Linked DNA regions of Nothobranchius furzeri. The protein of the gene in region 5 purifies or fractionates together with the protein of the main gene of each other region. This does not show direct contact. Links are inferred from orthologs where the notes say so. Each region holds a gene or a part of one and is shown on either strand. Other genes may lie near its edges.

What was found.
Region 1: the proteins of kpna1 (region 5) and nop58 purify together in Homo sapiens (affinity purification with mass spectrometry; 3 studies listed by BioGRID and IntAct, with this or other methods). This does not show direct contact. The link is inferred for Nothobranchius furzeri from reciprocal best matches to the Homo sapiens genes KPNA1 and NOP58.
Region 2: the proteins of kpna1 (region 5) and arid2 purify together in Homo sapiens (co-immunoprecipitation; 3 studies listed by BioGRID and IntAct, with this or other methods). This does not show direct contact. The link is inferred for Nothobranchius furzeri from reciprocal best matches to the Homo sapiens genes KPNA1 and ARID2.
Region 3: the proteins of kpna1 (region 5) and usp1 purify together in Homo sapiens (co-immunoprecipitation; 6 studies listed by BioGRID and IntAct, with this or other methods). This does not show direct contact. The link is inferred for Nothobranchius furzeri from reciprocal best matches to the Homo sapiens genes KPNA1 and USP1.
Region 4: the proteins of kpna1 (region 5) and rnmt purify together in Homo sapiens (co-immunoprecipitation; 4 studies listed by BioGRID and IntAct, counting the BioPlex papers as one, with this or other methods). This does not show direct contact. The link is inferred for Nothobranchius furzeri from reciprocal best matches to the Homo sapiens genes KPNA1 and RNMT.
Region 6: the proteins of kpna1 (region 5) and nup153 purify together in Homo sapiens (affinity purification with mass spectrometry; 3 studies listed by BioGRID and IntAct, with this or other methods). This does not show direct contact. The link is inferred for Nothobranchius furzeri from reciprocal best matches to the Homo sapiens genes KPNA1 and NUP153.
Region 7: the proteins of kpna1 (region 5) and smarcd2 purify together in Homo sapiens (affinity purification with mass spectrometry; 3 studies listed by BioGRID and IntAct, with this or other methods). This does not show direct contact. The link is inferred for Nothobranchius furzeri from reciprocal best matches to the Homo sapiens genes KPNA1 and SMARCD2.

The regions. Positions count from the first base shown.
Region 1 is NC_091742.1:74,286,167-74,290,395, forward strand, and holds the start of nop58 (nucleolar protein 58), read right to left. Parts: upstream 2,801-4,229; 5' UTR 2,676-2,800; coding exon 2,631-2,675; intron 2,053-2,630; coding exon 1,976-2,052; intron 1,900-1,975; coding exon 1,847-1,899; intron 1,635-1,846; coding exon 1,510-1,634; intron 1,437-1,509; coding exon 1,300-1,436; intron 1,121-1,299; coding exon 1,056-1,120; intron 410-1,055; coding exon 275-409; intron 123-274; coding exon 1-122. Other genes in the region: FMR1-interacting protein NUFIP1, read left to right, coding at 3,721-3,952. UniProt on the Homo sapiens protein: Required for the biogenesis of box C/D snoRNAs such as U3, U8 and U14 snoRNAs. Part of the small subunit (SSU) processome, first precursor of the small eukaryotic ribosomal subunit.
Region 2 is NC_091741.1:59,776,360-59,780,407, forward strand, and holds the start of arid2 (AT-rich interactive domain-containing protein 2), read right to left. Parts: upstream 2,801-4,048; 5' UTR 2,582-2,800; coding exon 2,490-2,581; intron 2,367-2,489; coding exon 2,273-2,366; intron 1,383-2,272; coding exon 1,285-1,382; intron 1-1,284. UniProt on the Homo sapiens protein: Involved in transcriptional activation and repression of select genes by chromatin remodeling (alteration of DNA-nucleosome topology). Required for the stability of the SWI/SNF chromatin remodeling complex SWI/SNF-B (PBAF).
Region 3 is NC_091748.1:69,495,408-69,498,289, forward strand, and holds the end of usp1 (ubiquitin carboxyl-terminal hydrolase 1), read right to left. Parts: coding exon 2,667-2,882; intron 2,570-2,666; coding exon 2,411-2,569; intron 2,278-2,410; coding exon 2,076-2,277; intron 1,929-2,075; coding exon 1,160-1,928; 3' UTR 501-1,159; downstream 1-500. UniProt on the Homo sapiens protein: Negative regulator of DNA damage repair which specifically deubiquitinates monoubiquitinated FANCD2. Also involved in PCNA-mediated translesion synthesis (TLS) by deubiquitinating monoubiquitinated PCNA.
Region 4 is NC_091759.1:9,236,286-9,240,437, reverse strand, and holds the start of rnmt (mRNA cap guanine-N(7) methyltransferase), read left to right. Parts: upstream 1-1,352; 5' UTR 1,353-1,425; intron 1,426-1,515; 5' UTR 1,516-1,585; intron 1,586-2,031; 5' UTR 2,032-2,076; coding exon 2,077-2,220; intron 2,221-2,302; coding exon 2,303-2,432; intron 2,433-2,619; coding exon 2,620-2,745; intron 2,746-2,856; coding exon 2,857-2,972; intron 2,973-3,070; coding exon 3,071-3,252; intron 3,253-3,344; coding exon 3,345-3,509; intron 3,510-3,608; coding exon 3,609-3,726; intron 3,727-4,152. UniProt on the Homo sapiens protein: Catalytic subunit of the mRNA-capping methyltransferase RNMT:RAMAC complex that methylates the N7 position of the added guanosine to the 5'-cap structure of mRNAs. Binds RNA containing 5'-terminal GpppC.
Region 5 is NC_091747.1:50,442,850-50,446,815, reverse strand, and holds the start of kpna1 (importin subunit alpha-5), read right to left. Parts: upstream 2,801-3,966; 5' UTR 2,700-2,800; intron 2,458-2,699; exon of another isoform or gene 2,317-2,457; intron 2,090-2,316; 5' UTR 2,082-2,089; coding exon 1,956-2,081; intron 1,877-1,955; coding exon 1,763-1,876; intron 1,653-1,762; coding exon 1,553-1,652; intron 1,423-1,552; coding exon 1,328-1,422; intron 1,199-1,327; coding exon 1,067-1,198; intron 904-1,066; coding exon 815-903; intron 722-814; coding exon 622-721; intron 480-621; coding exon 316-479; intron 220-315; coding exon 141-219; intron 63-140; coding exon 1-62. Other genes in the region: nanos homolog 1, read left to right, coding at 3,776-3,966. UniProt on the Homo sapiens protein: Functions in nuclear protein import as an adapter protein for nuclear receptor KPNB1. Binds specifically and directly to substrates containing either a simple or bipartite NLS motif.
Region 6 is NC_091759.1:87,644-90,785, forward strand, and holds the end of nup153 (nuclear pore complex protein Nup153), read right to left. Parts: coding exon 3,081-3,142; intron 2,999-3,080; coding exon 2,612-2,998; intron 2,522-2,611; coding exon 2,312-2,521; intron 2,238-2,311; coding exon 2,051-2,237; intron 1,966-2,050; coding exon 1,893-1,965; 3' UTR 1,704-1,892; coding exon of another isoform or gene 1,555-1,703; 3' UTR 1,447-1,554; coding exon of another isoform or gene 1,360-1,446; 3' UTR 1,300-1,359; coding exon of another isoform or gene 1,054-1,299; 3' UTR 501-1,053; downstream 1-500. Other genes in the region: cibar1 (CBY1-interacting BAR domain-containing protein 1), read right to left, coding at 1,054-1,299, 1,360-1,446, 1,555-1,703. UniProt on the Homo sapiens protein: Component of the nuclear pore complex (NPC), a complex required for the trafficking across the nuclear envelope. Functions as a scaffolding element in the nuclear phase of the NPC essential for normal nucleocytoplasmic transport of proteins and mRNAs.
Region 7 is NC_091756.1:35,532,469-35,535,968, reverse strand, and holds the end of smarcd2 (SWI/SNF-related matrix-associated actin-dependent regulator of chromatin subfamily D member 2), read right to left. Parts: intron 3,045-3,500; coding exon 2,947-3,044; intron 2,740-2,946; coding exon 2,604-2,739; intron 2,523-2,603; coding exon 2,400-2,522; intron 1,527-2,399; coding exon 1,425-1,526; intron 1,341-1,424; coding exon 1,287-1,340; 3' UTR 284-1,286; downstream 1-283. UniProt on the Homo sapiens protein: Involved in transcriptional activation and repression of select genes by chromatin remodeling (alteration of DNA-nucleosome topology).

The DNA.
Region 1 (4,229 bases), on a different chromosome or scaffold from region 5:
GTCGATGTCCTGTTCGGATACTTCTGTTCCCATGGAGATCTCAGCAGCTAGCTTCACCTCAGCCTCGATCTCCTCAGGGAGGATTTCTGACAGATCGGTGCTGGACACGTTTGTACGATCACCTGGGGCGGACAAGACGACCGTCCAATCAGTAAGACACTTCATAGTAAAAAGGTAAATAATTGCCCTTCCTTTATGGGTTTTGATAATTAAAACAAAAGCTGTCGTCTCTTTTTCACATCAGCCCAGGTGTTACTTAAACAACGAACCTTACCGACTTTGAGGACGGTTTTGCAGTAAGCTAGGTTGTCCGTGACGACCTTCCCCAGCTCGGGGAAGTGCCAGCCGTACCACTCTCTGCAGCGCATGATGTAGTTATTAAGCTCCTTGTCCAGGTCGTCCAGGAGGGCTGAGGACAAAAACACCCAAGCTCCGGTTATTGTGGACAAAGACAGCCAGGATCACAGAAAAGGACACCAGGGACACAAACTGGGCTTTCCTCAATTTTTCAAGATGTCTGAACCCACACGGCCCGGCGATGCTGCTACTAGCTTCTTCTGTGGGGTCACTGGAGGTGAGGTTCAGCCTAACCAAGTATCCAGGAACTTCTGATTTAAGCTTTTATCACGTCAGTTTAGTTTCCTCTTATAATATTTATAAGATCAATAACCATTATTATCAAGGGTGCTCTGACATTATGTTAAATCCTGACAAAAGACTAAATTTCTTCATAAATATTTATATATTAATCATCTGACTAACTTAAATCTTTCTATTTAAAATAAATGAACATTCGGCTGAACTGACAGTTTGATATTTCTTAAATTCAGATTTTTTATAGAATGGCTGAAATATTACTAATCCACCTCACAGGGGAGAACATTCAATCAAATCCTAAAAAAAAGAAATTTCTGAAATAAAATAGTTACTTTCTACAGGTTTCTGTAGATTTAGCCCGCTAATGTCTAACCCTAACCAGCTAATGCTGCATTCAGGGGTCATTATCACTAATATTGTATGAAAACAACACGATGCTTCATCAGCGAAACACTCACAAATGGCCTGAACGATCATCGTGTCCACTTTGTCCGGGCTGAACTTCAGCTTGTAGCGGGACAAACTGCAACAGGAGAGGGTGTTAGCTGATAAACAACAGACCAGGCGATAAACAGGAGCACAGGGGCAGCCTCAGTGGTAGTGACGAATGCTGATGGGAACATCTACATGAGGATCTCAGACAGCAATGTGTAATCACAGGCAGCAGCAGCAGCTGTAGTATAACCCCGGGGTGACCCTGACCTGTGAGCCAAGCCCAGAGACATGGCGCTCATCTCTCTGGGAGGAAGTCCAGAGATCAGACTCTCCATCTGGCTCCTGATGCATCTCATCAGCTCGGCTACTGCGGGGCTGTAGACGCAGTTCAGGTCCAGCTTGTCCTAAGAACACAAACTTGATCAGAAAATCTTTAACAGACAGATCTTCTGACGTCTGCAGAAGGATGAAACTCACTTTAATAACTCCACCCAGTTTAGCATCGCTGATGGCTAGCTCCTCATGAGCCTCCTTGGCCACGACTTTCTTCAGGATCTTCTTCAAACTTTTGCTGATTTTTCCCTCAACCAGAGCGGTGGCAGCTTCACAGCAGAGGTCAGAAACAACTGATTAAACCTAGATAAGCACACTTTAATAATCCCTGCTCCTATCCTGGACATCTTCTCTTATCTACTGGCTGAAGGGACAGGGTGGTCTCAGTGGTAGTGACGATTGCTGTGGATAACCTCATGCTTTTATCAGACACTGAAATCCATCACAGACCACCAACATAGACACAACAGAGTGTTTTTACCTGCCAGTGCCTCCGTCGTGTCCTGAAACTTCTCAAAGTGTTTCAGTTTCACACTGATGGAGGAAAAACAGATGTAAGCCCCCAGAGTGAGGTGTTGAGCTGAGGGTACTGAGACGTGTTCATACTCACATTTTGTTGGCTTTTTCAGGAGTCTCAAACTCCTTGTACAGGCTGTCCACCTGCTGCAGCTTTGATTCATTTAGGACCTAAAAACAAATAAACTTGAGCAACCAGACAATAAAAGCGTCTGTATGCTGGAAGCTAGGGAACTTGTGCATGGCAAGTGTTGCACCGAGCCAAACTGTCTTTTATAGACTTGAACGAAAAAAACAGCCACATGGGCAACATTGCTCTTGATACTTTGCTAGCACAAACACACAAACACACTTTAAGTGCATTTAGAAGGAACGACTCTACAATAACCTGACCGGATTAATTATCCTTTTATTGAGCGAGTGTACTACATTCTCTGTTGTGTTTGAGATCAAACTCAGCCAGCTTCCAGGAGCGCACGTGGTCACAGGCCCCTAACAGCATGCTAACTCATGTTAGCATTTGAGTTTAGAAACGAAGACGTGCACGTGAGATAGGAAAGCACACGGTGCCATATTCAAGCCCACACAGACACGTTTAGAGCTCGGTTGTTTTATTTCCCCTAATAACACCAACTTGTTACTTAAGGGCAAATTTATGTGTGACATTAGGATGCTAATCGAGGCTAACTACAGACATACGAGCGAAATATCGTACTTCAATCGGTAAACTGACAGAATGAAACACTCACTTTGAATATCGCATATCCAGCGGCGGTTTCAAATAGAACGAGCATGTTTGAAACTGCTCTGTTTTATTAAAGTGCTCTCTTTTCAGAGAGCTGACAGTTTTCGTCTCGGTCAGTCACCGCGATGGTGAGGCTCGGAAACCGCACGCGGTGCAGAGGAGCTGCTGCAGGGGGAAACTTCCGGGTTGCCAGATCCGTTAATTTGAACCAAAATCACCCAAACGTCAGTATTTCCTTTGTGTTTTAGCTAACTCTAAAAACAATAAATGTATTTTAAAACGCCATACACAGTAACTATAATAAATTTATGCAACTGTGTTGTTTTGTGTGTTCTTGAAAGCTTTTAACAAAGTAAATGTAATTCAATTCCATCTTTTTATTCCACCACCTTTATTTTATGATCGCATAGCAAAATAGTAAAACCACGTATTGTATTTTTTACTTATTATTTTTAAATTATCGTTATGTTCATTTTGTTAAAAAGTAAAAAGTTTATACATTTTAATTAAATGTCACAAACTGGATTTGATTTGGCAACGCCAGAGATGCGCGCAAACAAATCTCGCGAGAGGTTATGAGCACGGTATGTTGCTTTCACAGTAAAACTTAACGCCAAACTAACTGTTTACGCACTTTTAAACGATATTATTATTAATGATTCCATCATTAAAGTGACTGATCAATAAAACAGATAATATAATTAAACAATACGTGATGTTACTTAAAGAACAAAATGTAATAAAAGGAGAATTACAAACAAGTAGAGAATAAAAGAGAACAAACTCCCGTAATATAAGAATGACATTTTATGTAGCTAATTTTAAAGCACATAGGCGACTCCAGATGTGTGAAGATTTGTTTTAAAATATTTTTGTAGGAAATCTAATTTTCAGTTGTAATCCGGATAACTTGTAAATCCCAGTTCTGAGAAATTGAAAAGGAAATTCCGATCATCCAAAACGCAACACACTTTTTTCACGGAAGTGACGAACGCGTGAACTCTGGCAAAACACGAGCGCGTGGACTAATACCTTGAGCTAACTTTTACCGTTTTCTGGCTGGTAACGTTGAGTAAGGCACCGGAGCTGGAGCTATGAACGAACCAGAACGCTACCCTCCACCAGACTTCAGCTGTCCCCCTCCAAGCTCGTTCCACACGCCCCAGGAGCAGCAGCAACCTCGGGCCAGCAGCTTCCACCCCAGCATGTGGAGCTGGGGAGAGACGCCGTCCGAGCCCAGCTGGAGCTACTGGGTCAGTCCGAACTGGAGTCACGGACAGGCGGGAGGGTACCACGGTCAGACCCATCCACACTGTGAGACCTTTGGTGATTATGTTTCTAAAAGAGGACACCTCTCTCAATGTTTGTGTTTGGAATGCTTGATTATGGAAATCAATCAAAACCACAATTATTGTATAGTGAACTCCAGATGATCTAACATGATTGTGTGTTGGGAAATACTAGAGATCACATCTAAAAGAGACTGCAGACGGATTTGAGTTTATGATGACTAATTATGAGACCAGAATTACCCACAGTAGACTCTACATTGCAGTGGCCTGTTAGGCTCAATGAAATACAAAACCTACAACATGGGTATTAT
Region 2 (4,048 bases), on a different chromosome or scaffold from region 5:
TACTTTACTGAAATGATGTTAAGAAGTAACCAGGGCAGACTCAATGATTGATATCTGATAAATGCTGCAACATAAACACCCAACAGGGCCTGAAAAGTGCTATAAATAAAGCTACCTACTGATACAAGAACAGTATTACCTATTTGTGGTGTTTGTGTAATTTTATTGACAAAACAATGACTTTCATGTAAAATTAAGATCCGTTCAAATATGAACTTCACTCAGGGTCTTGTCATTTCTGGTTAAAAATACAAGCAGATTTCAGACTAGCTGCAGGTTGCAGGAGCTATAGATTATAAACTTAATACCTAATATTTCTGGATTCCCATCAGCAGTGTAGCCAGTTTGTTTTTTGAAATACTTCAAACCAGTCCTCCCCTTCTGACCCAGTGGTTTCTAAAGTTAGGGCCAGGACCTCAATGTGGGTCTTTTTGATCTCCACAACCCACAAAATTACTATAATGGATATTTTGCCACAACTGTTCTATAAAAAGTTGTCATAAATTGGCCAGAGATAGTAAAATAGTGGACAGTTTGTGTTGTCCTTATGTCACTGTAGAGTTTACACTTTTTTTTAACCGTTGGTGGCTGTGGTGACGAGTCTCAGCTGCTGTAATTTTGTGTCAGAAGCTGAAAAGTTTACGAAACTCTGCTCTATAGATCCATCAGAGCTGTCTGAACTTCCGATGAGCTCCAAGTCTCATCAGCTGCCTTACAGTTAGTCATAAAATTAGCTTCATCCTGTCACCGCTCACTGACAATATATAAAGAAACAATGCTGGCCTCTTCTATCACCACTTGTCTCTAAATGTCTACAAGCATTTCTCTGCTGCACAGGTGCAACCTCTGCAGGGCAGGTGCTAGTGATGGGAACACTACAGTGATGGAAAAAACACTACAAACCACAAATGCCAGCTGTTGGAAAGGGGGGGGGGGGGGTAAAACAGACTCTGCTCAATGCAGCTGACTGACTTCGAAGTGTGCATGTGATACAAGTAAGAGCATCCAGAACCATTCAACATGGCATCAACAAGAGCCCCCGGGCTAAAAGTGTCAAAACGCCCTAAAACCAATGTTTTCAAAAGCTTTGTTTAAAAAGACAACTCAGCCCGAGTGTTTGCTTCTCTGGTGGATTAAGTAGTACTCAAACCTCCTCTGCAATATTCCACAAGTGCAGCTTCCAAGCAGAGGGAAGCAGCGAGGCTGCATCCAGCTGACTGCATCTTAGCATTTGTAAACACTTCCCACATGCTACCTGAGAGGAGAGAGTTGCATGCAACTTACCGCAGGTAGTACTGTTTTAAAGCGAATGCTGCGTTGGAACAACTCCTGGGAAAGTTAAACTCCTCTCCAAGTTCAGCCCACTGGTTTTTATCAGAGACCTGAGGAGAGGATGATAAAAGGGTCTGCTGGTTAGCAAACACCGGTAACAACAACACAAAGAACGGTTACAGTGAAGGCAGCTAGCTGCTCCCTCTGCTACAGGTTCTCCATTGAGACAGTGTCACAACCTCTTATCAATAACTTTCTCAAACTGCAGGAAATGACCCAAAATAGATAAAGCCAGCATAACCTTTAGAAGTTATGTTTAAAATAGTCTCTATATTGTTATGTAATAGCGGGTATTTGTTATTAGCATTTAAAATAACTATTTAGAACGGTTTTGTTACAGTTTAGGCTAGTTAGCTACACAGCTAACAAGCTAACTTGATTACTTGCTAATTGAGCGTTTAAACCGCGCGAGGCAAACTACAACAAACTGCCGGGGCAGAAAGCGCTCGCGGCGAGCCGTTGGGTTGTGGAGTCAGTGTATGTACCCGTTTACTGTGTTCGTTACATGGGCCTGTGAGGCCTACATTCTGTGGCCAGCCATGAAGCCGAAGAAAGATGGCTATGGCGAGAAATTAAGCTTCCCTCCGGGTTAAAACTGCTGGCGAAAGCCCGGGCAGCGCGCCGCGTTCAACGCGGTGCTCCCCGAAGCCGGGCTCCGTGCCGATAATCGATGGTAAACGTGCCCGCTAATTTTGAGTCGCTCCAACTGCACTCTGACTCCGAGCGCTTTGGACTCTTCAATTCATACCACACAACAACACAAGCCACCACATTGCATAGAGATACATGGTAAACTAGCACAAGGCCAACGCCGAGCCACTGGAACGGCTTTCTGGAGGGTGAGACTTGTCCCGGGTTAACCGCTCAGAGTTGTGGAGTAGTCCGGTGAGAAGTCCACGGACGGCAAAGTGGAGAAATGACACTTTTGGTTCCCACTCACCTTAGCAAATCCACCTAAAGAGACGACTCTGATGTAGAGTGCATTCAGATCCAGCTCTTTCCCACCCACGATAGGAATCTTTTTGAACGGCGATCTGTTGAAATAACACATGAAATAAAGCCACACATGTTTAAATTACACTTTTGGGAACTCGCGCCTTCATTGCAATTTGTAGTTAAAGTTGTATTTCTTGGAAATAAAGGCACCCCAATCTCACCCTCTGCTTTGGTGAAATTGCCGCAGCTCGTCCAGGAAAGCCTGTCCTTTCCTTCGCTGATCTAGTAGATTTTTCCCCGTCGAATTTGCCATTGTTTTTGCATGCAAAAACGGTAAAATCCCACTTCAGTTGCTTCCTAAGACACCAAGGATCCCATACTCCGCCGGCGCGCAGTCATTCGCCAAGCTGAGTGTTTAAAAAGTTAAAGAAATAGCTGATAGCAAAGAGAGCGGCAGCTCGCTAATAAAGACTGATGCACACAGAAAGCAAACCCGATACAAGCACGGACTAAGTTCCAACGAGCGGTCACAAATACGACCGATTTACCGGTGGATTAGAAACGCCATGGCTGAAGGTGTTGAATTAATGCTTTTGGTCGCGGCTGTGTTCGTTTGGAGTGGTTTGACAGTGTGGTACGGACGCAGCTCCGAGGCTATCGCACACACTGTAGAGCGGCAGAGGGATCCAGTTCTCAGACAAAAAGATGTGAAGGCCGCGGAGCCCGGCCTGCCATGCGTGCAGCGCCCTCCGTGTCCACCGGCGGTACTGCACCCTCCAAGGTAGAGCGACTGCTGGAACAATAGACAGTTTTCTGTTTTAGGGATCGTCTGACAATTCATGCCCGCTGCCTAGAAAACGGGTCAAAGGGTTCTTGGAAATGTCCCGTGGGGGGAGGGGAAAAACAAATTAACCCAGCTTCGTAATATTCCAATTAAGCGCATAATAGTAGCTACCTAATTGTTTTAAATATAAAAGTGCGTGTCAAACATCGGTGTCAAATTATTATTTCAGCAGTATCAGTAGGATAGTGATGCACGTGTCATAATGGTGCTCAATATTTTTTATAGATTTTTTTTATTTTAATATATACTTAAAAACGAATGAAAGAAACTTACTTTGCGAACTTTTGACTGCAAAAGATGAGTTGCATATTAATTATTGTGTTGTATGAAGTCATATATTATGTGCCTAACATATTTTATCCTGTATAACTTGTTTGAACTTTAATATTTTTGTTAAGTGGCAAAGCTTAAAACATCTACACACACTGATTATGTAATAACATGCTTGTAAGTTACACATTAATTGTACTGCTTTTGTAATTACATAAACTGACCATACTATTTTGTGTTATACGTAAATATGATTATTTTTTAATTTATATTCGTACAATCTGTTGCTGCATGGGTAAGCGGATGTGGGAAGCAGCTGGTGTCCCTAGCTGTGGCCGCGTCTACAGGACTTTTATCTGAAATTCCCCCTGGTCCCTTTCTGCTGTAACTGCCGAGCGGATATCTTCTTGATGGGGTTACATTCAACCATTACACGTACCCCTTTGCTCAATGAAAAACCTGTCACAAAATGGCGGAGACGTACGTTAGCAGACCCCATTTTGAGGAATTGACACTAGACAGCGGAACAAGTTCATGTCCTTGCTTGTGGTTTTAAAAACAGCGCTATTTTTGCTGTCAAACTGCGGTACGCCGGAGTTCAGCTCGCGCCTGTTTGGACTCCCCACTCATCAAACGAATTCTGGGCTAACGAGTCGATGGCGCTAG
Region 3 (2,882 bases), on a different chromosome or scaffold from region 5:
ATCAGACTGTTTAGAAAAGTAATACGTGTCCCACAGCTGATCCGCTTGTTTTCATGTATAATTTGTGGGGGTGCGTGCCGTCCTTGGAGCCACGTTAACGTTCGACGAATAAAGAGATCAAATCCTCTGGTGAACTATAAGGGACCTGCTCGCAGCAGGAGAAGGTCCGTTAATAATAGTCGAGGTGGTGAAGGTAAAAACTTTATTGCTCATAACTTACAGCCTGGTAGGGGTAGTCTACTGACACTTTACATTGTTTATTAAAAATAGTCCCCCATTTTCCAGGAAAACAAGGTGGAGTAATTATGAACTCAAAAACAGTAAATCAGCTAAATAATGGTGCTTAGGATATAAAGCACTGAGAACCATTTAAGCTTTAATAACTGGTTGTTTTAAAGCACATTTATTCAGTGAAAAGAAATATTTCCCTTTAGCAGTCATTTAGGTGTTTCTGGTCTGGTAATCATCTATGTACAGCTGTGGAGGAAAGTTCCACCGTCTAAAAACCAAAAACGGCAACAATTAAGAGGCAAATCTATCCTTTAGCTTAAAACCATTCAAATGCTTCACATTTGTGTATTTTGTACAACATTAAACCACGTTTCCTGTTTGTATTTGTAAAAACCTGATCATTTCTTGGAGTAAGTATAGACGGACCAACCTTTTTCATTATTTCTTACACACCTGCTGCTGAGGCTGCTTTCCTACTCCCAACAGCACATTACTGAGTTATGGCTTTTGCACAAGTCAAGAAAACACTCAAAAAGAAGAGACTTCTTTAAATATGCAGCAATGGTGCAAAAAAACATAATACAGAACAAGTTTAGGCCGCACAAAACCTGAAATTAGATGTACAATTATCCGATCTATGAAAGATTAGTAGAAATGTGCTTTTAGCGCTAGGTAAAGACCTAAGACAGTATAGAGGCTTAAAATATAGATAATAAAACCATAAAAGGCTTCAGCTTCCTTTTATGATCGTACAGGAGGGAAAAAAGCTGTGCTAATGTGTTTTGTTACGAAAGGAGTCCCTGCATGAGAGGATGAGACGGGTCTTGGTCCCACTGTTGCTGGTAGAAGCTTCAGGGTCAGAAGGGATCCTCATCTTAGTCTCTGATATTTGGCACCAAGCTTCACAGGTAAAGCTCCAGCTGTTGGTTTAGTTCCCAGGTTCAGCCATCCTCCTGTAGAACAGCAGGTAAGGTGTGGAGGAGGAGCACGTCTCGGGGGAGCAGGCTCGCAGGAAATCCTCTTCCTCGAACAAACGCACCTCGGAGTCATCAAACAGCAGCCATTTCCCCTCGTACTCCAGAAGATGGTTCAAAGCTTGCTGCTCTGTCGCCTTCATCCCCGTAGAGGTCTCCTCAGTCGTCTCAGACTCCTTTTGAAGTCCGTCGGTGTTCTGCCTGGAGCCGTTTATGGTCTTTTGCCGTTTTGAACCTTCGGATGCTCTACGACTGGCTGCTTTTTCTGTGTGTTTGCCGTTTTCCAGCTCATAACCAGACAAACTCCTCTGTCCTCCCAAGAGTCCAACACCAGCTTCCGACAGCTTTTTGCTCGCTGCTTTAGCGCTAGCCAAACCCGAACGCCTCTGTCCTCTAGCATTTAGACTGACGGACACCTCTCCATCGTCGTAGTTTAGCTTGTCCTCCTTCTGTGCTCCCTTTTTCCTTTCTCTCTCATCTGTTTCCACCTCTGGTTCTTTTTTGTCCTGCAGCCAGAGCTTTACATCTTTCAGGTCGGACATGCGGACATAAGTAGTGTAGTGGCCACAGCTAATGGTGATGCCGCTGTGCATGACCACGGCAAACAGCTGATACCGCTGCCCTCTGGCAGATGACGTTTTTGTGCACCACTCCTCCAGAGACAGAGTCAGCGGCGTCTGCAGGGGGGTGTTGACTTTAGAGAGGCCAGCATACGGGTCCAACCTGCAGCCAAACAGAAAAAAATCTAAATCACCGATCTGACTAGTCTTTGCAGTGATTTACATCATTTTAGTGCGATGACGACCCAGAGAGCAAAGCTCTGCTCAAACTCCACACAGGTCTGACCAGCTGGGTCTGCTGAGCACTCACTCTAAGCTGCTGGCAGAGAAGCGCTTCAGGTGGATGGTGATGACTTCAGGTGTTTTGTCAAACAGCAGACTTCTCTCAGCCTCGGTGTAATGGAAGCACGTCTCACAAAAGTATTTGTCCTCCCCGACGATGCGCTCCACTGAGGCGAACTGAGCCATGGCCCACTTCAGAGTCTTCACCTCCGGTTTGGGGTCCGGAGAGACTGGGGGCGAGAGAGAGATCAGGACAGGAGTTTTTTCTGAAGTGGACTGATTAAGAACAACTTTCAACATATTACTATTCATTCTAAAAGGCTTGATGATATTTGTTCCTCTGGTATAAAAACAAAAACTCACTCTCTGTGAGATCCTCTGGGCTGCTGGGCTGCTCATCGAGGACGGGGACACTGATGTCCTGAAAGTCTTCTCTCCGCTCTGTAAAGCTCTCACACTCCAGACATCGAGTCCTCAGAACCAGGCGACCCTGGAACAACCTCTCCATCAAGCCCAAGACATCTGAGCCACACACACACACACACACACACAAACACCTTATTCACTGTAGAAAAACTGCAAGCCTCTCTCCCTCTCTGAGGAAGTGTTCGAGGCCTACCTTGATGTTCCTTCATGTTCTTCTCTTCATTAGCGTTCTGGGACAACGGCTCTTGGCCCGTTTTATCATCCATCTCGTCTGTCAGCTTTGTTTTCGACTCCGTTTCGTTCTGGTTCTTCACGGTTGTGGAGCTGAGCTTCCCGACGCTGCAGAACTTGGAGAAAATACTTGGCTGTTTTCCCGACGGTCTCAGCCAGCTCAGCTTGGCCCTCTTTT
Region 4 (4,152 bases), on a different chromosome or scaffold from region 5:
AATCCCCCTCCGTCAGCCTGCATCTGATTGCTAGAGACAAACAAGACTGTAAGACTAAGAAGGTCTATTTGTTTCTGTTGGAGGAGTTGTTTGTGAAAAGTACCCAGTCCATACTGGAGGTACGGAGTGAAAGTCTGCTTCAACTTGGTAGAACAAATCAGAATAATTCAGTCAGACCTTCTGGTCTCCCACTTAAGAGTTTTGCAGCTCCACCTGCAGGATGTTTGTTTTCACTCCACTGACATATTGGAATGAAAGAAGGCAAGGCAAAAGGAATTTCTTATGGATGTTCTTTAAGTGAAAATGATTACAGCACAATAAACAATGCCAAACCTCATATAATTATCATTTCCAAAGACTGGTTCCAGTTTGTGTGTACATGTGTGCACACAGATCTGTCTCCTAATTAAAGTGTTTAGTGCATCAAGAAAAATATCCACAGCCTGCTGAGCAGCTGAAATTTTGAACAGACCTACAAAGAACACATCTTGCTATTCTATTATGTGTGCTGCAATCATCAAACTCTCTGTTTATTTATACTTTTGTACTGGAACTGAATTATTTTATATAGACACCAACTTGACATTTGGCATTGATAATAAATGGCAAGTTTAAAAATGTAAAATTTCCAACAAAAAATAAAAAATAAAAAAATAAAAAAATAAAACAACGTTAGTTAATTATGAGGAAGACTGATAAAACGAGGAAAAATGCCCATTTGTTTTTAACATACTTAAATTTTACATTTATTTTCACTGCAGAACAGTTTTGCCACACTGTGTGTTTTAAATTAATTAACGTATAGCATAAAGACAGCCAATTCTTACAGAAAATATATTTAGCTAATATTTCATTCAGGGTTAAATGCTGCATTTTTGTTGGACTGCTCTAACATAAATGCATTATCTTTTAAAAGGTTACTTAATCTTTATTGTGAATAAGAGTAATTTGGAAATGTGTTTCTTCTGCCTTCATTTGTTTTTAAAAAATGTATTAAAGTTTACTTATCTTCAATTTTGCCCTTTAAATAAAATAACTATATAATATTGCAAATAATTTTTAATTCCTTTGTTTTAACCATGCTTTCTTCTGTTAAATAGACAAAAATGTACAACCGTCCACATTTTTTATTGATATTTGCTTTCTTTGCCCTGTTTTAATTTCTTCTGTTTTTAATATTATAACTTATGGGTACTTCTAGTGCATGTATTCATACGCCTCCTACTTTTTGGTAAATTATATTTTCTACGTTTATGATGTTCGCTTATTTTTGGCCAGTTTTGTTTGAATAAGTTTTATTACTAACCATGGACACATATACGGGTTCTAACCTTTTATTTGTGTTTCGCCACGTGTCGCAGACATTTGACGACAGTGGAAGCGGAAGTTTATCAAAGCGCATGCGTGCTGTCAACAGAGATCATTGTGAGTAGATTATCATATTAGAAAAGAAAATTCTTAACAGTTTACATGATTTTATCAACAAATAGTTTGTATTTTGCTCTCATCTGATAGTTTACATCCAGGCAGTGGTTCTTCCTGCTTCCGGTGAATCTCTGACGGGTGTTTTATTGGATCTACGAAGGTAAGCGTTAGCATGCTAACCAGTTAGCGGGAGGTTTATTTATTCCCGTAACTTTATCTGAAGGTCAGCTTTGCCTTTACCCGAAATTACTGAATGAAAAACTGTCTGACTAGACTAGGGGGTTAAACAAGAAAGAAACTTGATCATAATTATTATTTAGCTAGCTTGCTTGGGAAGCAAGACCACATTTCCCTCCATACATGTTCAGCTGTAGTTTATTACATCAATTTGTTTTCAAACAACCAAGCTTTCAATTTATTTTAAATGCTTGTCATGTTTTAAATAACGTTACAAGTTGGACTTTAAAATAGTTTTGCTCCAGCAAGGTGATCTTTTATTCATAAATCAATAGAAGAGTGGTGCGTTTTCAGGTCTTTTGTAGGTCTTTAAATCATGTAATCAAAGCTGTGATTATTTAAACAACTTTCCTTTTTTTCTGTTTCCAGTCAGCCTGGTTGTGCTTTGTCCTCCTCTCATTCCAGACTACAGAAATGGAGAAGGTAGGAGAGAAACAGGGAGAAGAGGACGGAGCAGCTCCAGCAGGAGGAGGAAGTGAGCTGGGGCAGAAGTCAGGCACGAAAAGGGTGCCAGAGAGAGGTGATGATGAGGAGGAGACACCACCCACCAAGAAACCAGTAGGCATATCAATAATTATAATGAAATAAAAAAGTGTGTCCCATGCTTGAACACATTATTGATGTGTTATTGATCCTCTAGGTGACTGATCACAGCGTGAAGGTTGCGAGTCACTACAACAAACTGCAGGAAGTTGGTCTGGAGGTCCGAAGTCAAAGCAGGATCTTCTACATGAGGAACTTTAACAACTGGGTGAAGAGTGTTCTTATTGGTAACTGATCACTAATTAATACTATTTGTTAATCCAACAATAATCCCTCTCATGTTTTCACCCGATACGATCAATCTGTCAATCGTCAACCAGCCTTCTGATGCTGCTGTGACCTTTTTCTTTCCATAAACTCATTTTTAGTTGCGTTAAGTTGAACATCTGTTAAAATCTGTTCATTGATTATCAGGTGAGATGCTGGAGCGGGTCCGAGGAGCGGGAAGCAGGAACGTGTCGGTGTTGGACCTCGGCTGTGGGAAAGGAGGAGACCTGCTGAAGTGGAGGAGAGGAGGAATAAATCGTCTTGTTTGTGCAGGTGGTTAAAAAAATCACCCTTATTCTTTGTCAGGAAATAAGTTCAACTCCATTCCTAGAAACTTTGTGTAGCCTTGCTTTCTTTAATGTTTTGCGTCTGTGTTGTTTCCAGATATAGCCGCAGTGTCAGTGGAGCAGTGCCAGAGTCGCTACGAAGACATGAAGCGGAAAAGTTACAATAACGAGAAAATCTTTAGTGCTCAATTCATCACCGCAGACTGCTCCACGGTAACTCACTTGTGTTGGTTCTGTGATTAGAAAGAGGCTGAAACAAAGCTGGTGTTTCAGAACGGTGTGAATAATAATAAAATCGTTTTGTGGTGCAGGAGGTTTTGTCAGAGAAGCTGGATGACCCCCAGCTGATGTTCGACATCTGCAGCTGCCAGTTTGTGTATCACTACTCGTTTGAGAGCGAGCAGAAGGCAGACATGATGCTGAGGAACGCCTGCGAGCGTCTGAAGCCTGGGGGCTTTTTTATCGGAACAACGCCAGATGCATACGAGCTTGTGTAGGAACAAGGATTATATTTACACTTCCGTAAAAATAACCATTTAATCTTTATAGAGAACATATTCTAATTATTGCTTTTTGTGTTTTCAGGAAACGTCTGGAGGCGTCTGACTCGCTGACCTTTGGTAACGAGATCTTCAAAGTTTCCTTCCAGTCCAAAGGTTCCTACCCGCTGTTCGGATGTCAGTATCACTTCAACCTCGAGGGCGTGGTCGATGTGCCGGAGTTTCTTGTCTACTTTCCTGTTTTGGAACAGTAAGATTTGGTTTTTATTGCGAGCTTTTTAACAATAACAGAGTTCTTGATGGAATAATTAGCTGCAGGAAGTAAAAAGCACCTGTGTTTGTGTGTCAGCATGGCGAAGCGCTACAACATGCGTCTGGTTCTGAAACAGAGGTTTTCAGAGTTCTGTGAGGAGAAAGTGAAAAAGGAGCAACACCGCAACCTCATGATGAAGATGATGGCTCTGGAGGTAAAAACTGAAGCTTTAGGCCTAGTCCACACGTAGCCGGGTTTTATTAAAAACGAATAACCGCCCCTCCAAAAACTTGCATCCACACCACCTTGTTTTAAAAATAAACTCTGTCCACACGTACCCGGATAAATACGTTGTTAAGGACATGCCAGACCTGTAGGCGGCAGTACTTCCCCCGTTCTTAACCTCGTCGTTCGTCTGTGGTCTTCCGCAAGGAGCAGTAATTCCGCTTGCAAAAACAAACAAGCAAAAAGCGCTTGTACAAGTGATGAAGCGAGCGCAGCTCTGAGGGCATCCATGCTGTCGGCTAGTGTAAACACAGGTCGCACACGTGATGTCAGCATTTTTTGTCGCGGAAAGTGACGTTGCGGACCTTAAAACTCCGGTTTTGTCTGTCCACACGCAGACACCCAAAACGGAGAA
Region 5 (3,966 bases):
GACTCCTTTGGGCTGCTCAGGAGGTAAAGTAGGGACTGCAGAGCTGAACAGTTCAGGATCACCTGAAAGGATAAATAAAAATCAGATTCAAATCAGAACATTCATGTTTATTTAACAGTTTGTGTTGATGATGTCATTACTTGTGTCTGCAGATCATCGCCAGTGACGATGTTCCCAACAGCCCGCAGAGCTGGAGACACCACTTTATAATCAGAGTGCCTAAAGGGAAGGAGATGTGTGGATCATATGAAAGAATCTGGGACTGGACACACGCTTCTACAACACGCTGCAGAATAAAAAAGTTTCAATTCTTACATCAACAACTCCACTAGCCTCCGACAGACTCCTGAGTCAATAACAGCCTGGATTTTGTCATTAGGCCCATCAGATAGGTAGGACAGTGCCCAGCATGCATCAGCCAAGATGTCTGTGTCGTTAACAAACAGCAGCCAGGACAGCACACAGAGACATGGGGACACCTGGACGGGGCAAGGAGGAGAACATGAGGAGATTTAAGAGGAAATTTGCTTTTGGATTCAATTAGAAGACCATCCTGCCTGTGACCTTGAAATGTGCTCTGATGTGCAGTTGCCATAGCGATAGTATATCTTGGCAAATTACCTTAGCAAAGTCTGGGGGTGGGTTCTTTCCTCTACACAGGTTTGAGAGCGCCCACACGGCGTTCCTCATCATCGTTAGGCGATTCTGTTTGGCCAATAACCTAAAAGCGGGATTTAACAAAGCAAAAATTCCTAAAGATGCTGTTTTTTCCATTTTTATTTTCTAAAATTATACAAAGAGATCAATGACGTACTGCAGCAGGGAAGGCAGGATGTTGCAGTTGATGACAAAGTTTCTGCATTCTGTGCTGTCACCTGCTATGTTACCCAATGCCCACACTGCCTGAGGAGTGAAACAACTATTCATTTTAGACAACAAGCACTACATGAATGTATGATTTTGTATAACAAGAACATCACAGGCCAGTTCTTGCATGTTTTTGTTAAAAAAAAGTTAACAGATATAAGGTTGTTGATGCAGAAATAAGCCTGAAAACTCGACCAACCTGTTCCTGAACGTCTTCAAAATCTGAGCTCAGCATCTCTATGAAGATGGGCACAGCTCCAGCCTGGATCACAACCCGCGTCTGGTGGGATGTCCCTGAAGCAATGTTGGTCAGCACCCAAGCTGCCTCAAACTACAAAGATAATTACAAAAAAGGCTTAAATGTATTAAACCATGAGCAGAATTAGAGACACCATACAAGGCAGAGAGAGGATGCGGTCCAACACGAGGAGGAAATTTTATTTAACTTTGGGAAATAAACCTGCAATGTGCAATTTTCTCTCCTCTTCAGAAACTCAACAAAACACTCGACCACCCCCGGAGTGGCAATAACTTCGTCGATGGGTGGGTTGGGTTCTGCGCAAGAAAAACATTTGTAGGAATGTAACCACTAAATGTTTCAACTCAGGTAGTAAATCATGATGTTTTGAAACAGGGTGCATGGTTTAAAATGCACACATTTAAAAAAAGGAAAAAAAAAGCCAACCTTTTGAAAGAAGCTTCCTAAAGCGCTGAGTGCCTATCAACTGCTGCTCCGGAGAGCTGGAGAAGATCATCTGAATCATGTCATCAGAGATCACCCCACCCTGTGAGGTGACAAAATAAGAATTTATTTGACATGTGATTTTAAACGGTAGTAAAATAAATATATAAATAAAAAGAGTTGATTGCAGAAAAAGAAGGAATATTTTCCCACCATTAGTGGGTCCAGGTTGTTAGCCTGAGATTCCAGATAGCCACTATCAGCCATTCCATCATCCTCAAGGGTGCCCTCATCCTCCACAGTGGCAACATTCCTCCTTTTAAAAAGCTATAAAAGAACAAGATGCTTATTTGGTTGCAAATTCTGACATTTTATTCATTTACGGTCACATTAACCATTGACTTACTTGTTCATCCTTCTTCTGTTTCCTAAGTTGCAGGCCTTCCTCTTCCCTCCTCCTCCTCATCTCATCTGTGTTAAGAGACTTGTTTTTGTAGCTCTTGAGTCGTGCATTGTCCTTACTTTGACTCATAGTGATGCCTGAGAGCACAGAAATACCTATGATCGACACAGACTTGACTAGGATTAGGAGCCATTGTTTTAGCATAGCTGGATCAGAGCAGATCCTAATCTTGGTTTTAGCCTCCTTCATGAATTAAACGTCGCCCAGTATCCTCTGACAGTCATAGCAAAAGGTTGGGTGGATCACACTGCTACTTCAGCAGTCTCTTTCACAGTCAATGAGTAGATCATTCCTCTAAACAAACATTGCTTCAGCTAAAGTATTAAGAGACCTTGCTAGCAGGTTAGCATTCTCTGAATTTACTGCGTGGGCTGCAGGAAACCAAACATGTCAATTTTGGTGAAGAAAACCTGTCGAAGTCAACTGACACTACTAAAAACACAAGGTAGTACTACAGCAACGTACAGACAGGGTCAGGCTGCTTATATCACAGCGGGTATTAGCCTCCTACTCAACTCCGTAAGCTAGTGGCTAGCTGGATGTTAGCTTAGGTCGAGACCAAGCTTAGCACTGCGGACAGTCTGGCGTTTCCCAGATGTCTCTGGCAAAAATGGTAAAACATCTTGTCAATGTAAAGGCTTTCTAAACATAATAAATAAAAAAGTGTAAATGTTTTACTTATTTTACCTATCGGGTTGTGCTCGTAATCCCCTTGTTCGTTAGGCCACCGTTTGTACAGCCGTCACCGGTAAATAACTACGCATGCGCCTCGAGGCACGTACGAGGAGTCCTCGTACGCTTCTGTGGCCACGCCCACACGAGGCTTTTGTTTTGTAAATATGACGCTTCCATTGATTAAAAGGGTGAAAACGTCTTCAAAAGTGAAAGTGTAGGTCAAAAGTTGAACGTGTTAAGGTTCAGAAGCCAAAAGAGTCATCCCACTCACAATTAGGGGTTGACAGATTTGTTTTAACTTCAAAGAGCGATGCGTTCTGTCAGTTTTACTGAACATTTTTCAAACGGTGCAGGTGTTTATTTTGAAGTGTTTTAGATGAGACACTGAGGCGCCAAGGATCATTAAGGGGTTAACGGTGGGTCGGCAAGGTAGCCACACATGCACATAAACACACAGGAACACACACATGCACACACACTGATCACAGTGTATGCAAGACATTTTCACCATCACTTATTATTGTTGTTTTCATGTTTTGCTTTTGTGATTTGTCCTTAAACTACATTTACAAACTTAGGCAACACATGCAATTACAAAATCTAAATATTAACATCTAAATGTGTCACAGGCGCAAATATCGAAAAGCGTGCACCAGAGCAAAACAGGTGCACCTTTTTAAAGTTTGGAAAAAGATAAAATATGCGTTCATTTATAATTTTTAATAATCAAATTTTTGCACAAGTATTCAAAAATAAAGATCATAAACATCTTAATCCACGGACTACTCTGTAGTAAAGTCATTGTTTATATTTTGTTGATTGGGGCTTCAGGAAATAACAATAACAACATTCCACAGATTGTAGTAGGCCTACATTGTGAAAAATATTTACCTTTGCACGTGTTTTAACATTTTTTTTACCTAAATAAATGCAACTGCCCTTAAGTGTTCAAACAAAGCCATTACCCTGCACAACCCAAACACCTGCAAGACATCAACATTGTTGCAATTTAAAACGACTTACTGGCGCCTATAAATATGCAACGATGCTCTCTAACGCAAACCATTGCACATTTTTGTTCCATAAAGATGCAAGGTGGGGTGGACGTCCAGAGCTCGTTCCTGCACGGTGGCGACTGCTTCGACATGTGGCATGATTACATGAACCTGAGCAGCCTTCTGGAGAAGCGCGACCAGAGGGAGGTGGCTCCAGAGGAGCCCGAGAAGGACCCCCATTGGCGACACCTCCAGACCCCATCCAGGCGCAGGACTTCCAGCAT
Region 6 (3,142 bases), on a different chromosome or scaffold from region 5:
TGCATTCATCCCAAAATTTAGAGACACTTAGAAAAAAATGTCATGTTACCTAAATAACCCAGATAACTCGTCTTTTACTGAATTGCTATTTTCATTATTACACCCCCCCTGGTTTGTTTATTCCTCATCTTAGACTGCCATCTAGCGGTATTGTTTAAAAACGTAATATTTGGCTTTTAACACGTTTGTAATTCTTCCTGCTGACATTGAACATTATCATTTAGTGACTGTTTTGAGCGTTGTTGCTCATTTCAATGGAATTTATACAAAATGAATTTATGCTGCCATAAATTCTTCTTCACTGTTTTGCTGGCAGAATTATGAAATTCCAGCTATGAGTACTTCAGTAGTATAACCACATAAATCTATAAATAAGAACATATTGTGAAACGACTTAAAAAGTTTATTTAAAATGAGTTTGTGGATGCAAATGTAAGGTGTTATGTAGGAGTCTAGGATAAAATCTTAGTTTTGCATAAAAACACCCAGCAGCAAAATGGTATAATTTTGTAGTTTTATTGATGGTAATTTTATCACTCATCCAGTAATAATCATGGCTTTAAAATAAACTGACGTCCCTATCATCCAAAGTCGCCCGCCTCCATTTAAACATGCGATAGAAAAATATATACTTAATACTTTGTACAATACTGGTTTTGGTCCAAACAAAAGTGGATCAGAAAAGCCAATATACCTTTACCTAAAGGTTCTCCAATTTGCATTTAAGCTCCTTTTAAATGGATTTGGGCAACTTTGAATATAGGAATTTACATAATAAATTCTAAAGACAAAAAAGCTGAATGCAGAGTTTGTAACACAAAAAAATCTCAACTTCACAGATTAAAAAAAATATCACTATTTACAAGTTTTTTATAATATTCAAAGGCCAATTAAGAGAAAAAGGAGAGCTTGTGAGGAATAAAGGGAGAGAATAAGGAATCGGGAAGAGGAAGGGGGGACCGAGAGAGACGAGAGTGCACAAAAAGCGGAGTTGCGGAGCGAACCAGAGAAAAATCAAACATCTAACGAGGATTTTTGAAGCTACACATTTACAAAGTCCTAAAGGGGTCAAACGAGGGCGTTGCGCCTCCGGCCCGGTCCGTCCTCCGCTGTGCATTAATGCAGCTTCCCAGCTCCCGAACCCTGCCCCTCCTGCCTTCCTCCCCTGGTTTTGTTTCAACATTCATTTGCTTCCTCGCCAGCGGCGGCGCCACCAGGCGATAACTCAGTCGTTTTAAGTTTTCTAACACACCGACACGCATCCTCAGCATGTACAAAGAAGCCAAACACACCTCAAGTCTGTACATAAGAGGAAAGAAAAGACACGCACTCTGCATTCAGACAAGCTCGTCTCTGTACAAACGGCACACGGCACCAACACGTCCGGTGCTTCCTGTGGAGGCTTCAGCAGGAACAACTGAACATTTACCACACAGCTCTCCTAATCTGATCACACACTCCAATTATTAAGCTTACACTCAAACTTTATTTTCTTTTTTTAAACTGCAGTTTTTTACTCTTTTTGTACTTTTATTACAAAAAAAAAAGTCATGCCTAAAGTCTAGCAGACATTTTGCCGGCGTGTAAAACAAAGATATGACTGTTTTGCTTGTTTTCTGTTTGGGAGTGGGGTCTTTGCTTGACTGTCGTCCTCTAAGTCCGTGTAGTAGTTTAGTCAAGTAAAGTCCAGAGGTCTCACACATTATTAACTCTCACTAACACATGAAAATCTTTGAACAAGCCAAAACTGCCCTGGATCAGCTCTGCTTGCCAAACAGTAGTGAAATTTGTCCAGCTGAGACCTGTGAGAACTACAACAGTCTGCGTTGTGGTGAGTTGGGGGGGTCTAGTTTAGTCGTACTCATGCCTAGTCTGGTCAAGGCCATGCAGGTCTACTTTCTGCGCCTCACTGCGGTCTTGATCTTGCGTCCAGCCGCCGGAGAAGCGGCGAAGGATTTAGTTGATCTGGAAGAGCAGATTCAGGATCAGTTAAAAAGCACAAATCGAGAGGATTCTGACATCCGGTAACAAGCTGGTGACATTAACCTACCCCATGTTAAAGGCTGGAGTTTGTGAAAAGTTGAAGCCACCAGCAGCTGCTCCCGGCTGGGGAACGATGGAGGAATTGGTGGAGGGGGCAGGGGCGGCTGCGGCTCCGGCTCCAAAAGTAAACACACCTGAGTTGGTGTTGGTTGTTGCTCCAAATCCACCCGCTCCTCCAAACTGAAAGCCCCCACCTGATGAAGATTCAAACAAAACACTCAAACAACCAGTAAATCACTACCAGTACAGATTAAAAGAGTTTACTTACTTGACGTGGAGTTAGCAGCGGCCCCGAAAACAGGCGTGGAGTTGGTCTGTTGTCCAAAAACGGGAGCAGCGTTGGCTCCAAAGGCCGGAGTTTGGGAAGGCGTGGCTGTGAAAGGGGATCCAAAAGAAGATCCAAATGCTGGTTGGGTGGTTGCAAATCCAGCAGGAGGGTCTGAACTGAATACAAACGGGGCAGGAGCTGCAGAAGGAGCTGAAAGTAAACAAAAATATAAGTTAAACGTTAAAATAAAGTAAAGATTTAGAAATTATAAAACTTTAATCCACAGAAAGCTGAGCAGACCTGATGAAGAGGCAGCAGAGGGCGCTGTTGCTCCAAAGCAAAAGTTGGGAGCAGCAGGATTAGCAGGAGCGCCAAATATGAAGGGTTGAGACTGCGCAGGGGCGGAGTTCAGAGGAGCGCTCGACGGAGCCGAGGACTGGCTGTCCTGACTCTGTCCAAAAACAAATGCCTTAGTGGGAGGAGCGTCACTGGTGGTCACCGGCGGCTGGCCGAAGACGAAGGTGCTGGGCGCCGATGAGGAGGATGGAGCCTGCGTGGAGCCGCCAGCAGTGGTGGGGGCGGAGCCAAACAAACTAGAAGTGGGTGTGGAGGTGGCGGAGTTGGTGGTGTTGATCTCGATGTTCTTAGCCATGAAGGAAAACACTGGTTTTGGGGCAGCAGCAGGATCTGTTCAGGGGAAAAAAACGCGTCACTTTTAGTAAACACACAACAAATCCCCGCTGAAGCTAAACATTTACAGAAGAAGCACCTGCAGCACTTTGTCCAAAGGTGAACGTAGGCTTTGGGGTCTCTGAAGCGGACGTCTCGCTC
Region 7 (3,500 bases), on a different chromosome or scaffold from region 5:
TTAGGAAGTACACATTATAGAACAATTAAAAATACTATTTTTGATTTTCTGCCACACAAGCCAATACCACGTCTGAAGCATTAAACAAGAGTCACCAGACAAGCTGAGACACGGCTTCCTAAAGACAGTTGGTTGTATCAGTCCCGGGCTTTATTTGAGGAGCGTTGTTTGAGTAAAACCAGACATTCCTGTTGGAACTGCTGCCCTCGTGAAGCATCTGAGCGCAGCGACCAGCCTCAACATGCACAGCTCCCTGATCCAAGCACACACCTCAATAGCTCAGTGCAATATAACGTATATGTAATGTAGGTTTCTGTTTCAGATATAGAAAATAACCAACATTTGCAAGTATATTTATTGTGAAAAACACCTCAAATGTAAAAAAAGATTTTTAAAAAAGCTTTTGAATCAAAAACATGCAAAACACGGAAGCTGTACAAAAGTACTTGTACTACACACTTCTCAAATTCAATTAATCAACTTCACAAAACACATTTTGGCACAAATACACGGAATGTTTCATAAGACTGCTTGTAAAAAAGCTTTTTCCCCATACACACACCATTTTTTTATCTGACACCACAGCTGCATTCCTGTTTATAATCAATAGCAAACCTCTACAAAGGCTGTGAAAATTCATTTTTGTGGTCCTCAAACAAAAAAGTAAATAAAAAAAACATGTAAACCTTCAACATATAAACAAGAGCTGCTAAAGATCAGAGGAACAAAGAAGGCTGTATAAAAACAGCTTCTCATAAATCACCACAGGCATGACGTATTTCCTGATTTGATGTTTTTATGTATTAAAAATATGACCTGAAAGTGTTTTAAGGGTTTATCTTAAAACTTACATAAAATATAGATTCAAACACTCTTCAAGGACATTTCAATAGGCATGTAGTACAACTACATATATATGGGATAAACTGATTAAGGATATTTTTTAGACATCAGGCACTGTCAACATTTAAATGTTACAACTTTTAGAAAATCACACAAAACATCAGCGTGGGAAAGCAGAATCCTTTACAGGACCAGTGTTCAAACAGTTTTCAGCATTTTGTACCGCGAGTAAAAAAAAAAAAGAATAAAAAAGACAAAAAAGTAAAAATGATTTGAAAAGGCTCCAAATGAAAAACCATCCAAGGCAAACACGTTACAAAAGGACACATAAATCATCACTTTGGTCCCATTAGTAAATAAGTATGGCTTAAGCTGCGATCATGGCTGTCTCTATTCCAGTTAAACAAAAGCAAACGCAGGCAAACTCCTCTGGAATCTGGCCTTTAGGTCAGTCGGATCCCCAAAACTTGCTCCAGCTCCTGCCTTCTCTGCTGCACCTGAAACGGAGAAGGAGTACCTCTGGTTCAGATACAGATGACTAAAATGTGCTGTTCTGAGCTCTGGGATCTGTCTTCACTTACTTTGGAGTAAACGTATCTGCCCACTGCTTCTGGGACCCAGGGCGCCTCGTAGAACTCGGTCCTCCTCTCCTCCTCTGGGTTTCCGCTCACGTCTGTCATCAGCTGATTCAACAGAAATGCAACAGTGAACACAACAACACCAACAAGATGCCCCAAACATGCCTTTCATTTTCTTATCTACAACTGCATCTTGCTGAGATGTTGCTTAAGGCTCAGGAGGTTTGTAAAGCTACAGGAACACAGAACAAAGCTGTGGCTTCTGAACGAACCATGAACCATGTCAGGTGAGGGAGGACAGCTTTGACTTCTTAAACAAATTTAAAAAAAACAAGGTGGGGTGAAATCTGTGTTGACAGGAACCCAGACATGTAGATCCTTCTGATCTGATCATTTCTAACTGCTGGCTGGAACATTTATCTTTAGACGTGTTTCGGCTCGCTTTAGGAGATCAACCCTCCACCACCTGCAGCAGAATGCTTCCTGATTAGCTCTCTGAGCACATGCCGGCAACAAGGTGCATCCGTTTACTGGCTAAATATGTTAGAATGAGTTCTGTGCTATTGTGTCACATTATATAATGTAAACAAACGTAAGAATGCTGTAATCCCCATAATGAATATCACCTTAAGCAACATTTAATGATGAGTAAACACTGCAGATTCCAGTGGGACAGATTTGAACTCTTATGGCGAAGGAGTAAAAAAACAAACCCAATAAAACCTGACTTCCAGGTTAAGGAGAATGTTCAGAAAACTAAAATATTTTTGCCGTCTAAGCCGTAAAGGAAATCTAAACGAGTCAAGATCTAAACACTTGATTTAATCAGATAAAAAAAAACATAGGAACTTCATTTTACCCTGTCTCTGCTATTTAACTCAACTTCATTTCATTTTATTTAGTTTGTCCTGAAATGAGGGACTAAAATAAGACAAAAGAGTCACGATAACATGGTAGTTGCAGCAGACATTTCTTTACCTTCAGATCTCTGCTCTGAGACTTCAGCCAGTCTTTGATGAACTCTTGTGGATTATTGCTGAAGCTCAGCATGAAGTCTCTCTCAGTCTTGAGCTGGTTGATGTACTCAATTGTTTCATGAATCTGAACATAAACAACAAAGGAAGACGTTTCAGGTTTCTACAGGCTCGTTTCATTTTAGTATGAATCCAGATTAGACCCGACCTTCATCTCAAGAGTAGCGATTTCCTGTTGGTTGGTGGTGGAGGACAGAAAACTGTTCATCTGAGCTTTCAGAGGGTCGTCCACCTCCACGTCAATATCATAGCAGGCTGTTTTCTTCTGGTCTGTGGGATCCACGCTGCTCAGGGAACAAAGGAGTTGGTGGTGACTACAGGACGGGTTTATACCTTATCTCAGCTCAGAACCAAATAGAAAGTGTTTCTAAGGTTCTACGTACATCTGTGTTTATTAACTGTAGGAGCAGCTATGAACCTTATTCACCAAGTGTGGTGACACTGTGTGTCTGAAAGCAGAGATTGTCTGAAGCTGTAAGATGAGACCCTACCTGATGATGTGGTTGATAATAATAGGGTCAGGATGCTGCAGCAGGCCCGCCAGCTTCATGGGGATCTCACTGAACCTCATGCGTGGACAGCTGAAGATCTGAACACAATTTTATTAAACCGCATTAGCACTTAAGACAGGTGATGTTAAAAAACACTGATAACTAATCCATCAGAGTTCATATCCAGCCCTCTAAAGCTAAGACCAGGACTACATGAGTCCTGTTTCCATTTTAGGAGTTTAGGGGACGGGGAGAGCAGCTGTGTGAAGTAAAAAGTGCCGTTCAATGACCAGAAGAAGCTGTTTTTGACAAAGCAGTGTGGATAATGGCGTTGTGGGGGATTTCCACTGCATTATATGCGTTGAACCTTCAGAAACTGCAATTTCAAAGCAGCATTAATGCTGTTTGCTTTCTTTCACTTCCACTCATCTTCACCAACAACTCTTCCCATTTTTGAAAAGGCCAGTTATTTGGCGAATACAACCAATCAGCGTGAGTTAAAAACAAGCCCGCTCAGCGGCTCTACCAGCCGAGTACCTACCCCAGCTCAGGTA